Canis lupus familiaris: one gene and its partners. The protein of the gene in region 1 interacts with the protein of each later gene in a pairwise test. Links are inferred from orthologs where the notes say so. Each region holds a gene or a part of one and is shown in the gene's direction. Other genes may lie near its edges. The genes, in order: TRIP6, GSE1 and NEU4.

Evidence for each region.
Region 2: the proteins of TRIP6 (region 1) and GSE1 interact in binary tests that used the Homo sapiens proteins (3 or more experiments, as listed by UniProt). The link is inferred for Canis lupus familiaris from reciprocal best matches to the Homo sapiens genes TRIP6 and GSE1.
Region 3: the proteins of TRIP6 (region 1) and NEU4 interact in binary tests that used the Homo sapiens proteins (3 or more experiments, as listed by UniProt). The two-hybrid records come from large-scale screens. The link is inferred for Canis lupus familiaris from reciprocal best matches to the Homo sapiens genes TRIP6 and NEU4.

The regions. Positions count from the first base shown.
Region 1 is NC_049227.1:8,843,753-8,847,464, reverse strand, and holds the start of TRIP6 (thyroid receptor-interacting protein 6), read left to right. Parts: upstream 1-864; 5' UTR 865-1,168; coding exon 1,169-1,277; intron 1,278-1,535; coding exon 1,536-1,663; intron 1,664-1,749; coding exon 1,750-1,875; intron 1,876-2,162; coding exon 2,163-2,540; intron 2,541-2,832; coding exon 2,833-2,926; intron 2,927-3,035; coding exon 3,036-3,205; intron 3,206-3,712. Other genes in the region: SLC12A9 (solute carrier family 12 member 9), read left to right, coding at 1-321. UniProt on the Homo sapiens protein: Relays signals from the cell surface to the nucleus to weaken adherens junction and promote actin cytoskeleton reorganization and cell invasiveness. Involved in lysophosphatidic acid-induced cell adhesion and migration.
Region 2 is NC_049226.1:67,507,981-67,511,621, reverse strand, and holds part of GSE1 (genetic suppressor element 1), read left to right. Parts: coding exon 1-21; intron 22-282; exon of another isoform or gene 283-1,257; coding exon 1,258-1,370; exon of another isoform or gene 1,371-1,678; coding exon 1,679-1,949; exon of another isoform or gene 1,950-3,521; coding exon 3,522-3,635; exon of another isoform or gene 3,636-3,641.
Region 3 is NC_049246.1:51,661,240-51,664,900, forward strand, and holds the start of NEU4 (sialidase-4), read left to right. Parts: upstream 1-736; 5' UTR 737-885; exon of another isoform or gene 886-974; intron 975-1,420; exon of another isoform or gene 1,421-1,515; intron 1,516-2,440; 5' UTR 2,441-2,540; exon of another isoform or gene 2,541-2,632; 5' UTR 2,633-2,779; intron 2,780-2,800; exon of another isoform or gene 2,801-3,095; 5' UTR 3,096-3,168; intron 3,169-3,661. UniProt on the Homo sapiens protein: Exo-alpha-sialidase that catalyzes the hydrolytic cleavage of the terminal sialic acid (N-acetylneuraminic acid, Neu5Ac) of a glycan moiety in the catabolism of glycolipids, glycoproteins and oligosacharides.

The DNA.
Region 1 (3,712 bases):
GAGCCGGAGGAGGAGGAGGAGGAAGGAGACTTTGTGAATGGCAGGCGGGGAGATGCTGAGGCAGAGGCCCTGGCATGCAGTGCTAACGCCCTGGTTCGGGCCCAGCAGGGGCGCGGCAGAGGAGGCGGGCCCGGTGGGCCTGAGGGTGCGGATGGCGAAGGTGGGCCTGCCACAGCCCTCACTTTCCTATACCTGCCTCGGCCGCCCGCCGATCCTGCCTGCTACACTCGCTACCTGGCGCTCCTGGAGACTCTGACCCATGATCTGGGCCCCACGCTACTCATTCACGGAGTCACCCCAGTCACTTGCACTGATCTCTGATGCCCGGGGCCTGGAGCAGAGGGTGCCCAGGTCCGGTGACCTGCTTTGATCAGTGGATGCAGAAGGGAAGGGCAGCCTCCCGCCTGCTCCACGTGTGGGGTGTGGAGCCCTGTGGAAGTACTAGGGGATCCTGGGCTGGGGCACCCCTCTGTCCCTGTGAGAGGGGCTTTAGTGCACTAATGCAGGGCAGCTGTGTCCCCACCACGCTGGGGGAGAAAGGCAGCAGCCCTCCCCACTGGCCTCCCTTCCTTCACTGGTGCCTTGATGGAGGCTGGGTCTCTGCTTTGACTCTCGGCTACCTCAGTCTCCCCTTGCCCAACAGACTCGCAGACCCCTGAGGTTGTGATGTTTTTGTTCTGTTTTATTTTTCTAACCGCTGAACGTGAATAAAAGACCAAAACACTATGGGCTGGCCTGGCTGAGCACTGCTAGGGGCGGTAGGTGGGGCGGGAAGAGAGAGATCTGGTTGGGGGAGTGTGGGAAAGAGCCGCGCTGGAGCGCGTCCCAGCGGCGAGGTGGCCACGTGCGGGACTTGGGGCGCCAGTCTGGGGGAACGAGTGAAACGGAGGCAGCCTTGGAAAGCTCTCCCTGCTCGGCGGGAGGGGGCCGACTGGGGGAGGGACGGCAGTTTAGGGCCTAGGGGGCCACGTGACCCTCCCCCAGGAATGTGGTGACGTCACCGGGGGCGTGGCTGTCCCCAAAATTGGGGAGGAAGGGGAAAAAAAAGGCCAGAAAAAGTTTCTTTCCTGGAGTTCCAAACGAGGTGTGGGACAGAAGAAGGGGCCAAGACCAGAGTCTTGGGGCTACGTGGGGCCTGACCGCTGTCTAGAGTCTCCTGATCCCGGCCATGTCGGGGCCCACCTGGCTCCCCCCAAGGCAGCTGGAGCCTGCAAGAGCCCCTCAGGGGAGAGCACTCCCCCGAGGTGCCCCGGGGCCGCCGCCAGCCCATGGAGCAGGTAAGGCAGCCCCAGTGCCGCCAAGGAGGCCACTGGCCATTCTGAGCTCACCTTCGCCTTCTGGTTCCTGCCTCCTGCCCCTGGCTTGTCCCTGCCACCCCTTCCCTGAAGCCCTTCCGGCTTCCTGCTCCTGCTCTGTTCTGGGACTCCAAGTGTGGGGGGGGAGGGGAGAAGAGTGACCCATGAGGGCGGCCTCCATAAGTGTCACCCTCCCCTCCTTCCCCATCCCCACCTTGGCTCTCTTTTCCCTCACCCTAGCACATCAGCCCCACCCCAGGGTCAATTTTTGCCCCCTCCCATCTGAGCAGTGTTACCAGGCCCCCGGGGGACCAGATGATCGGGGGTTCCCCTGGGTGGGGTGCCATGGAGCACCCCAGCGCTCACAGGTGAGAATTGGAATTGGGAGTGGGTGGGAGGTGGGGGCACCCGGGGCAAGTGACTTGAATTCTCCCTGCTTTTTCTTCATCTCCAGGGGCTCCCCCCAGACAGGGGGGCCTTGCGTCCAGGAAGTCTGGATGCCGAGATAGATTCGCTGACCAGCATGCTGGCTGAGTTGGATGGAGGTCGTGGTCATGCCCCACGGCGGTCAGACCGGCAGGTGACTTCCCTGTCCCACCCCTGTTCCTTGTCTCCTGCCCTCTTCCACACTCCCCATCCTGGTCCTTTCCCTAGATTCTCAACCTGGTACCCTTCACCCTTGCCCCCATGTGTGATACATGCAGGAGTATCACATCTTACTAGATTGTCAGCCTCTTGAGTGCTTGTCAAAGACCAGCACTACCTTGGGGACACACACACACACACACACACACACACACACGTGGGAGGGCCCACAAGTGTGTGTCCTGGAATGGGCCTTCTCACTCCTGGTCTGTTTCTCCCCAGGCTTATGAGCCCCCTCAGCCCCATGCCTACCGCACAGGCTCAGGCTCCCTGAAGCCGAATGGAGGGGGTGTTCCTATTCCTCCCCAACAGCTCTCAGCGTCTCCCTATGGGGGCCCCACTCCAGCCTCCTATGCTACAGCCAGCACCCCCGCTGGCCCTGCCTTCCCTGTGCAAGTGAAGGTGGCACAACCAGTGAGAGGCTGTGGCCCTCCCAGGCGGGGGGCCTCTCAGGCCTCCGGGGCCCTCCCGGGCCCTCACTTTCCTCTCCCAGGCCAAGGTGAAGTCTGGGGGGCTGGCTATAGGAGCCACCATGAGCCAGGGCCAGGGGTTAAAGAGGAGGCTGCAGGAGGAGGAAGAGGAGGCGCGTATGGGCCCCAGGTAAGCCCTAAGTATTGGGATGTGGGGTCCTCATGGACAACTGGACACTGATTGGGTGGGGTGGGGAGTCCTGGGGTGTTGGAGTTCTGGGTCCCAGGGATGTGGCGCTGGTCAGGAAATAGAAGAGGGAGGTGCTGGAGCTGTACACTGGCTCCTGGAGGTGCACCCCTGGGCCCCGGGCTGAGACCTCGTCAGATGAGCTTTCTGCTTGGAACTGCCTGGTCCCCTTCAGGAAAGTCTGACAGCATAGGGAGCTGGAGGTAGGGCTGAACCCCTGACTCCCCCCTTTCAGGTCCCCCTGAACCAGCCTCCTGAGGAAGAGCTTGAGAGGCTGACGAAGAAACTGGTGCATGACATGAACCATCCTCCCACCGGGGAGTACTTTGGTGAGCTGACCTGAGGTGGGAAGGGGGGCAGGGGACTGGGGAGTCAAGGGGACAGCGAATCCACCTTCCATTCTGCATGCTTATTGACCCTGTCCCTCCCTGTCCCCAGGGCGGTGCGGCGGCTGTGGGGAAGATGTGGTTGGGGATGGGGCTGGCGTTGTGGCCCTGGACCGGGTCTTTCACGTTGGCTGCTTCGTGTGCTCTACATGCCGGGCCCAGCTTCGGGGCCAACATTTCTATGCTGTGGAGAGGAGGGCGTACTGTGAGAGCTGCTATGTGGTGAGTGGGTGTGCTGGGGGTGGCCTGGGTGCTGGAGTCTGTAGCAGGAGGCAGGAGGCTTCCATCTAAGGTAGCAGGAGGCAGGAGGCTTCCATCTAAGGTGGAAACTAGATGTCTAAGCACATGAGAGGGACAGAATTCAAAGGTGGGGGATGCCTGGGTGGCCCAGTGGTTGAGCATCTGCTTTCGGCTCAGGTGGTGATCCTGGAGCCCTGGATTGAGTCCCGTATTGGGTTCCCCCCAGGGAGCCTGCTTCTCCCTCTGCCTATGTCTCTACTTCTCTCTCCGTGTCTCTCATGAATAAATAAATAAAGTCTTAAAGGAAAAAAGAACTCCAAGCTGGGGGACTAAACTGATGTGTAAGAAGGAAGGAATTGGGAAAGTAGTGAAATTACTGGCTGCTGGAGGGAAAGGACAATAGTTCCTTACAAATGTGAGAGGAGGAGGAAGAAGAGGAGGAGACCAGACTTATCTTGAGTTAAGGGAATATGTTAAATTTCCACACTG
Region 2 (3,641 bases), on another chromosome or scaffold:
GGCGTGAGGCCCAGGAGAAAGGTGTGGTCTCTCTGGGGGCTCTGACCTCCTGGGACCGGGGGGCAGCAGTGCCAGCCCTCCTCCCACTCCTGATTCCTGCTGTGGGCTCAGGGAGCAAGTTCATTGGCTTCTGTGTTGCTACCTGACAACCTCTGCTGGGGAGACAGACTTGGGGCCCCTGCCGGTCCTGCTACAGTGCAAATTGTCCCAAAAAGCCAAATCAAAGCTCTCTGGAAGAATAGTTCCACAGACACGCATGATTAATAAATAATGAACAGAGGCTAATAAGACGATTTTAAATATTAATAGCGCAGCATAACAGAGGAGGAGGCTGTCGAGAGAACAGGCCTGGGCCCAGTGGGGGCTCCTCAGGGGTTGCCATCCTCGGTGGGGGTAGGGCAGGGACAGATCTGGCCCCCTTCCCTCCCTGCTCCTGCAGTGGGAAGGGCGCTGGTGGGGGCGGGACTGTCAGCCAGCAGGTCCAAGGTACCCTTGGCTGTCTCCTACTTGCACACCCTGTCTGACCAGGAGGGGTCAGAGGTTGCTCCAGACCAGTTTTTTTTTTGTTTTTTTTTTTGTTTTTTTCCTGCTAGAAACGAGTCCTATTGAAATCAGTCTCTTAGCCAGAAGCTGGGACCAGGGCCAGGTCTTCCCAGGGTTCTTGCTCTAGGCTAGATTTAAGGCCCCAAAAGTATTTTTCTCCGCCACTTGTCTTGTGAGGGAGAATGAGGGAGTGCCCCATCCAGTGCCCTCGGTGCAGGGGTGCTGCTGCTTTCTACGTGAGTTTCTGTGCACATTCTCTGCCTTAGGTGGGGACCTGAGTATGCCTGGCCCCTCCTGGGTAGTGGACCCAGATGGCCACAGCAGGAGGGGAGTGGATGTGCACACACAGCCTTGGGTTGCCATGGACACGGCCCCAGGCCTGTGGGATGAATGATTCCCTGCAGAGAGATCATGTCCGTTCAGGCCACCTCAGCCTCATCACTTGGGGTCCAAAGGAAGCCTGGCATCTGCCTCCTGCCGTCTCCACCCTCACCCCTCACCAGCCATCCCTATAAAGTGCTAAAATCCTAGGACTAGGGGTTAATGCATGTTTCCACCTGGGATAAAAGGAATCTGGGGTTTTGGGGTGGTCAGGGAGGCCTGCAGGTCTTGGTCTGATGCGTGCTTCTGTACGTGTCACAGAGGGGCCCCCTGTGTGCATCCACTGTAGGATGAGGCTCCTTGCCCAGCCCAACAGTCCTTTCTTGTCCCCAGGATACTACTACGACCTGGACGACTCTTACGATGAGAGTGACGAGGAGGAGGTCAGGGCCCACCTCCGCTGCGTGGCCGAGCAGCCGCCCCTCAAGCTGGACACGTCCTCCGAGGTATCTGGAATCTCGTCCCCGTGTGACAGGTTGTGGGTGGGGCCTCTGGTGCCCCCATCACTTTCTGCTTCTTGGCTTCCCTCCCACTGTCCCGGGCAGCCCCTCATTTGCTAGGAACCCCTGCACCCCTCCATTCCCATTGACTGCAGGTTGTCTGGAAGCGCCGTCAGGGTCTTCCGCGTCTGTGGCCCAGTGTGGAGTTGGCCACAGCTCATGGGCTGCATGGACCCCAGGAGGGAGCCCCTGGGACAGTGGAAGCATGCCACTGCCAGTGGTTTCAAACTCATTTGTTTTCTTTCCCAATCTAGAAGCTAGAGTTTTTGCAACTTTTTGGCTTGACCACCCAACAGCAGAAGGAGGAGTTGCTGACCCAGAAGCGGAGGAAGCGGCGGCGGATGCTGAGGGAGCGAAGCCCGTCACCCCCGACGATTCAGAACAAGCGGCAGACGCCTTCACCGAGACTGGCACTGTCCACCCGCTACAGTCCTGATGAGATGAACAACAGCCCAAACTTCGAAGAGAAGAAGAAGTTCCTGACCATCTTCAACCTGACTCACATCAGTGCCGAGAAGAGGAAAGGTACAGCCTAGTGTGGGCCTCGTGGGGTCGGGTCACTCTGCGGCCACAAGCTTCTGGAGAAGCAGGGGCCGTGGGCTCCTGGGAATGTTCCATGCCCACACTCCTGGTAGGATCTAAAACCACTTCATCCTGGGGCTCTTTCTATTCCCTCTGGCCCCCAAGGAGGCAGCTACTTTGCTTGCACGGGCCTACCCCAGTATCGCTCCAGCATCGACTTTCTCTCCATCCAAAATGCAAATTCCCCTCCTTGGAGGGCATATCTCTTGTCACATCCTGTGCAGGACTGAAGGCTTGGTGCCATGTGTTCTGTGTGTAAAGCCTGCTTTTGACGGCTGCTCTTGTCACTTGTCAGACCTCCCAGTGCTTCAGGCAGCAAGTGGGGCGACTCCTGGGCGCAGGGTCGCAGTGCACCATCCTGCAGGTAGTGGCTGTTTACTCTTGGCAGGTGCTGCCGTGGCCCACAGAGCTTTGCGTTCTGACAGCAGGAGGCTCGGGGTGGCCTGTGGTGGCCAGGCAGAGCCAGCATATGCTGTGAATGGGACAGCTTGCCCTGGAAGGTGCTTCCAGGTCCATCTGGCCACCAAGGGCCATGTTGGGGCCACCTTTTCAGGCTGGAGTCCATAGCACAGGAGGGGTGGTGCGGTCTGAGCACATTCTCGCCTCCCCTTCCTTGGTCTGGCCCATACCTCACTTAGTGCCAGGAAGTGAGTTCAGGTGAGAACTCCACCTGTCTCGATGCTCATTTCCATGCTTCTAAGTCCAACTTGCTGATACCTAGGTTGTCACTTCTCTGGAAGGAAGTCAGAAGGAAAGCAGAAGTGTTACTGGTCACATACTTGCTTCCACTTACTTCATTAGTGGGGTGTAGCCGTGTGCTTTTCGCCTTTAACCTTAAACTGGAACCTGCGCATTCTCTTAAAGAGGCAGTGACTCATTGATCACTGGCACCTGTCCCTGGGAACAGCCATAATCTTGTTTGTAACAAGCATCTTTTTGCCTGACTTAATTCCTAGAGGAAGCCACCAGTGATGCAGGCACTTCGGTGTCAGTTGGTAACAAGTGCCACCACAACAGGAACTCACAGTGGTGGGCGTCACGGGGGTCTGGTTCCGTTTCAGTAGATGGCAGCCTTGCTGGGACTTGTGCACGTGTGCCAAGAGCTGTAGGGGAGAGGAATGTGCCTGGAAGCAGCCCATGCTCCCAGAGGTGCTGTGTGGATCTTCACGGTTGTTCCTTTTGTTGGGAGCTTTTGTGTGCCTGAGTCTTTTAAATAAGAATAGTGTCGGAAGTCACCTCTGAAGATCACGGGAACCCATTATTTTGATGTATGCACACAGCTATTTTTGGAATGCATCTAGAATGCTCTGTAGCAAAAGCTGAGCAGAATCTGAGCTAACCCTAAAATGAAAGTTTCTTCCTTTAAACACAGCCTGTTCCCCTTGGTCCTTGCTTTGCTCTTCTTGATTTAAAGGACTTGCACCTGCCAGTGACGGCTTGGGCTAGAAGCCTGCTCCCCTTCCCTCTCAGCAGTGATGCAACTGTGTTGTTAATCTCAGGCTGCTTTTCTCATAGACAAAGAGAAACTTGTTGAAATGCTCCATGCCATGAAGCAGAAGGCACTGTCCGCAGCAGTGGCAGACCCACTCAGGAACTCTCCGAGGGACAGTCCTGCTGTCTCCCTGAGCGGTAAGG
Region 3 (3,661 bases), on another chromosome or scaffold:
AGGGCACACGGTTGGAGGGAGGCGTGTCGGCAAACAGCCGGGAAAACCATGCAAACACCCGAGTCTCTGCGCCTAGGGAAGCCTAGGGGCACAGATTCCGGCACAGGACTCCCTTCAGCAGCCGGACGGAGAGACACCCAGGCCTTGGCAACGACAGGTGGCCGCGGGGGGCAGGGGCCCCTGCCACGGAGGAAGCCCAGGAGGCGGACCTTCTGATTTGTCAAGAGAAGCTGGAAATACAGGTTTTCCTGTGAAATCTCCACATTTAAAACGGCTGGTGTCTCATGCAAACATTTATCAGGGTGGTGGTGGGGGCGCGGGGGGGTGAGCAGGTGGAGGGGATAGAGCTCCAAGCTTCCAGCTTCGGGCCGGCTGAGGGCTCCGCGTAGAGGGGCGCAGCTGTGTTGTCTGCGGACACACGGTGGGGTGGCCGCGTGCTCCTGTCCCCTCAGCACAGACGATACAGCCTCAAACTAATAGAATATCGTTTGTCACAAGCAAAAAAACCAAAACAGAGCGCCCAGCTCTCTCGTGTGTCTGTAGAGGAGAGGGGATGGGGGCCTAGGAGGAGCCGTTCGCTCCCCTCCATGAGTGGACAGGAAAGATCATTACGAGCATACTTAAATTTTTTTTGAGTATTTTTGGGAGCGTCTATGAATAAAAGCTTTTCAAACGGTGAAGTGTTTGTCGTTCAAGCATTCCTCGGTGTTAACAACGTAAAACAAGCAAAGCCACACCCCAAGTCCCCGAGCAGAGGGAATGAGGCCGGTGTGTGGGCCGCCTCCTCCCGCGGTCCCAGAGGGCCCCCCTGCACGGGCCGTGCGGCAGCTTGGGGGCGCAGCGGGAGGCCCGAACCCTGGGCACAGAGGAAGGGAGACGGTTTGGGTGAGGCCCTGGGAAGTGGGGGGTCGTGTCTGATGTGGAGACGCTGGGGTCCAGATCGAACGACCAAGAGACGTGGTCGGCGTGCAGAGGTGAAAGCCCAGGGGCAGGACGCGGGCGTGGGAAGAGCTGTCCCAGCCCGAGGTGGGAGGGGGCGAGGGAGAGCCCAGTCGCCAAGTGACTTTGGGAGCCAGGGGGCCATCTGTGGTTAGGAGAGGGTCATTTAGCACCGGCTACCGGAACCCGGGTCCTGAGCCCCTCCAGATGGACACTGGGGGTTGTGTGCCAGGGGAGGAGCACCCACATGTGTTGCGGGGAGAGAAAGCCAGTTTCCTAAGGAGTTTCTACAGGTTCAGGTGGACTCGCAGGTCCTGGGGGGTCAGGCTACGGTTGCCCGCTGCCCTTGGCAAGGTGTCCCCATGGAGGCCGCCGAACCCCCAGAGGAGGGTCACTGTGCCCTCCTCCAGGGCCTCAGTGGGCTGCCCGGAGTGAGGACATGCACTGTCTCACATCCTCGTCTCCCCCTTCCCGTCCACAGCACAGCCTGGGCTTGCATCTGGGCACGGGTGGCCCAGGGTACTGACCTGGGGGTCTCCTTGCTCCTCTCCCCAGGTCTCCCGAGGACCTGAGCAGGTGGGTGGGTAGGCGGTCTCCAAAGGAAGCTTGGGTTGTAGGCAGTAAGGGGATCGAGGGGAATACCTTGTCCCAACTCCCGAGCCAGGGTGGATGGCTTCCTTTTATGTAGGGTCAGGAGGACTATTCGGGAAGGGGAGCCTTGTCATTGTCTGTAGAGGCGTAAAGTCACGCGTGTGCCTTAAGGAAACCTGCCGAAACGTAGTCGTCGTGTGTGATGTCCGTGCGGCTCGTGTCCTCCCAGGGCAGGGGTCTTAGTGTTATATGAGGTCAGGGCGACTGTGTGGTCGCCCGTGCCCCGTGGTCCATCTGCACAGTGAGTCGGGGGTGCGGCTCCCACAGTTCGGATGGTCGGGCCCCCAGAGCTCTTCCTCCGGGCCAAGGTTATTGCGGGGGGCAGGGGGGCCAGTTTCAGTGTCCATCCCGGGATGCGGCACCTGCTGGGTCTTTGCCCGAGTTAAGAGACCAGCCGGAAAGAAGAGCTTCAGGAAGAATGTGGGAGGGAGGTCAGCGGGTGCACGCGGGTGGGCAGTCCAGGTCAGGTGCTGGGGTCTGTCCCGTGGTCCTGCTGTCAGAGGGCAGGTCAAGGGGGTACAGGTGGGGCGCAGGGAGCCTGAGCAGGACGGCCCTCCAGAGAGCCCTTTCACCCACACCTGGGCTGCTGAGGGCCCCCCTGACGCCCCCGGGCGGCGGTCACCTGGACACGGTCACTGGTGAAAGGGCCCAGCTGGTGGGAGTCCTGACCAGGCCACGGGTGGGAGTCCTGACCAGGCCATGGGTGCTAGGGTGGGGGCTGTCCCCTCCAAGTCTGAGCCGGCCACCTCACATGGACACGGGGCTGAAGCCCAGTGAGAGCCCAAGGGGCCTGCGTTCTGGGTGTCCGAGCCGTGCTGGGAGGGTCACGAGTGCTCACTTGGGTTTCCAGGGGCAGGTCTCTGGAGGAGGCTTGGAGGCAGCAGAGATCTAGGGGTCAGCTGTCAGCTGCGGCCCTTGGCACCCGCGGTCCCAGCCCAGCCTTGTTGGAGGTGAGCCCCTAGTTCCAGGCACTGCAGGGCAGAGAGGGCTTCCCCCCCTCCCGCCGTGCCCATCTGCACCGCCCTCTCTGGGGGCCACACAGCTGGCAGGACGCAGCCCTGGGACCCCGCCAGTCCAGGCTCCCGCCCCGCACAGCCAGCCCTTGTCCCTGCTGCGCTCACTGGGTTGGAGAAGCAGAAGCAACTGCAGCTGCCCCGCAGCCAGCTCCACGACCTTCCTGCGACACCCGGTGAGTCCCCTCCCTGCTCGCCTGCCCCCGGCCCCTCAAGGCTCCTCTGTCCCCCCAGGCTGCCCTTGGGCAAGGGCGGGGCACACTCGCGGGCTGAGGGCCGCCCGGCCATATGCTCCACACGGTGTCCCCGTGGGACAGTTTCCTGGTCAGAGCGGCAGGTGCCCTGCAGGGCCCCGGGGTAGCCGCGGAGAGCCGGTGACCTGGCTGGGGGGCTGCGGGTCAAAGTGGGGGCGGGCCAGCCTGCAGGAGTGTGGGGCCCGGCTCCCCCAGGCCAGTGGTTTGTAACTGAGTCCTGGCCCCCGGCACGGCCCAGGACATTCACCCAGACTGGAGACCCTTCCGGAAGTGACAGGGCCAGGAGGCCCCTCCGCCAAAAGGCCAAACACGTATGCAAAACCCTTTGCTGTTGATAGGCACGCATTTAAGTGACTTTAAGTGACCCGCAGCAGGCTGGGGTCCTGACCTGGGCGGGGGCGGAGACCTGCTGATAGGAGGGTGGGGGTCGGGGGACAGCTGTCTGGAGGGTGGGATGTTGGGCACAGCCATCCTACCCTGCTCACACCAAGCCTTGGAACCTACTGATGTGGCCAGACCTGGCCAGCTACCCCTGAGGAAGAGAACTCTTCCTCCTAGGTTGAGGGGGTCGCCCTGGGACTTTGGGGTTCTGCAGAGACCCGGGCCCACATAGGATGGCCCGGGGTGCCCTGTCCTGCTCTGTGCAGGCGGCAGTGTGAGCAGCTGGTCTGTGCGGCCTCCATCTCTCCTGCTTGGCTCCCCAGGGGGGCTGGGGGGGGCCCTGGAGTCCAGGGGGTCTCAGGGCCTGTGGAGTAAGCCAAGTGGAGACAATGTCCCCTTGTGTCTGTTCAGCCTGGAGGGACA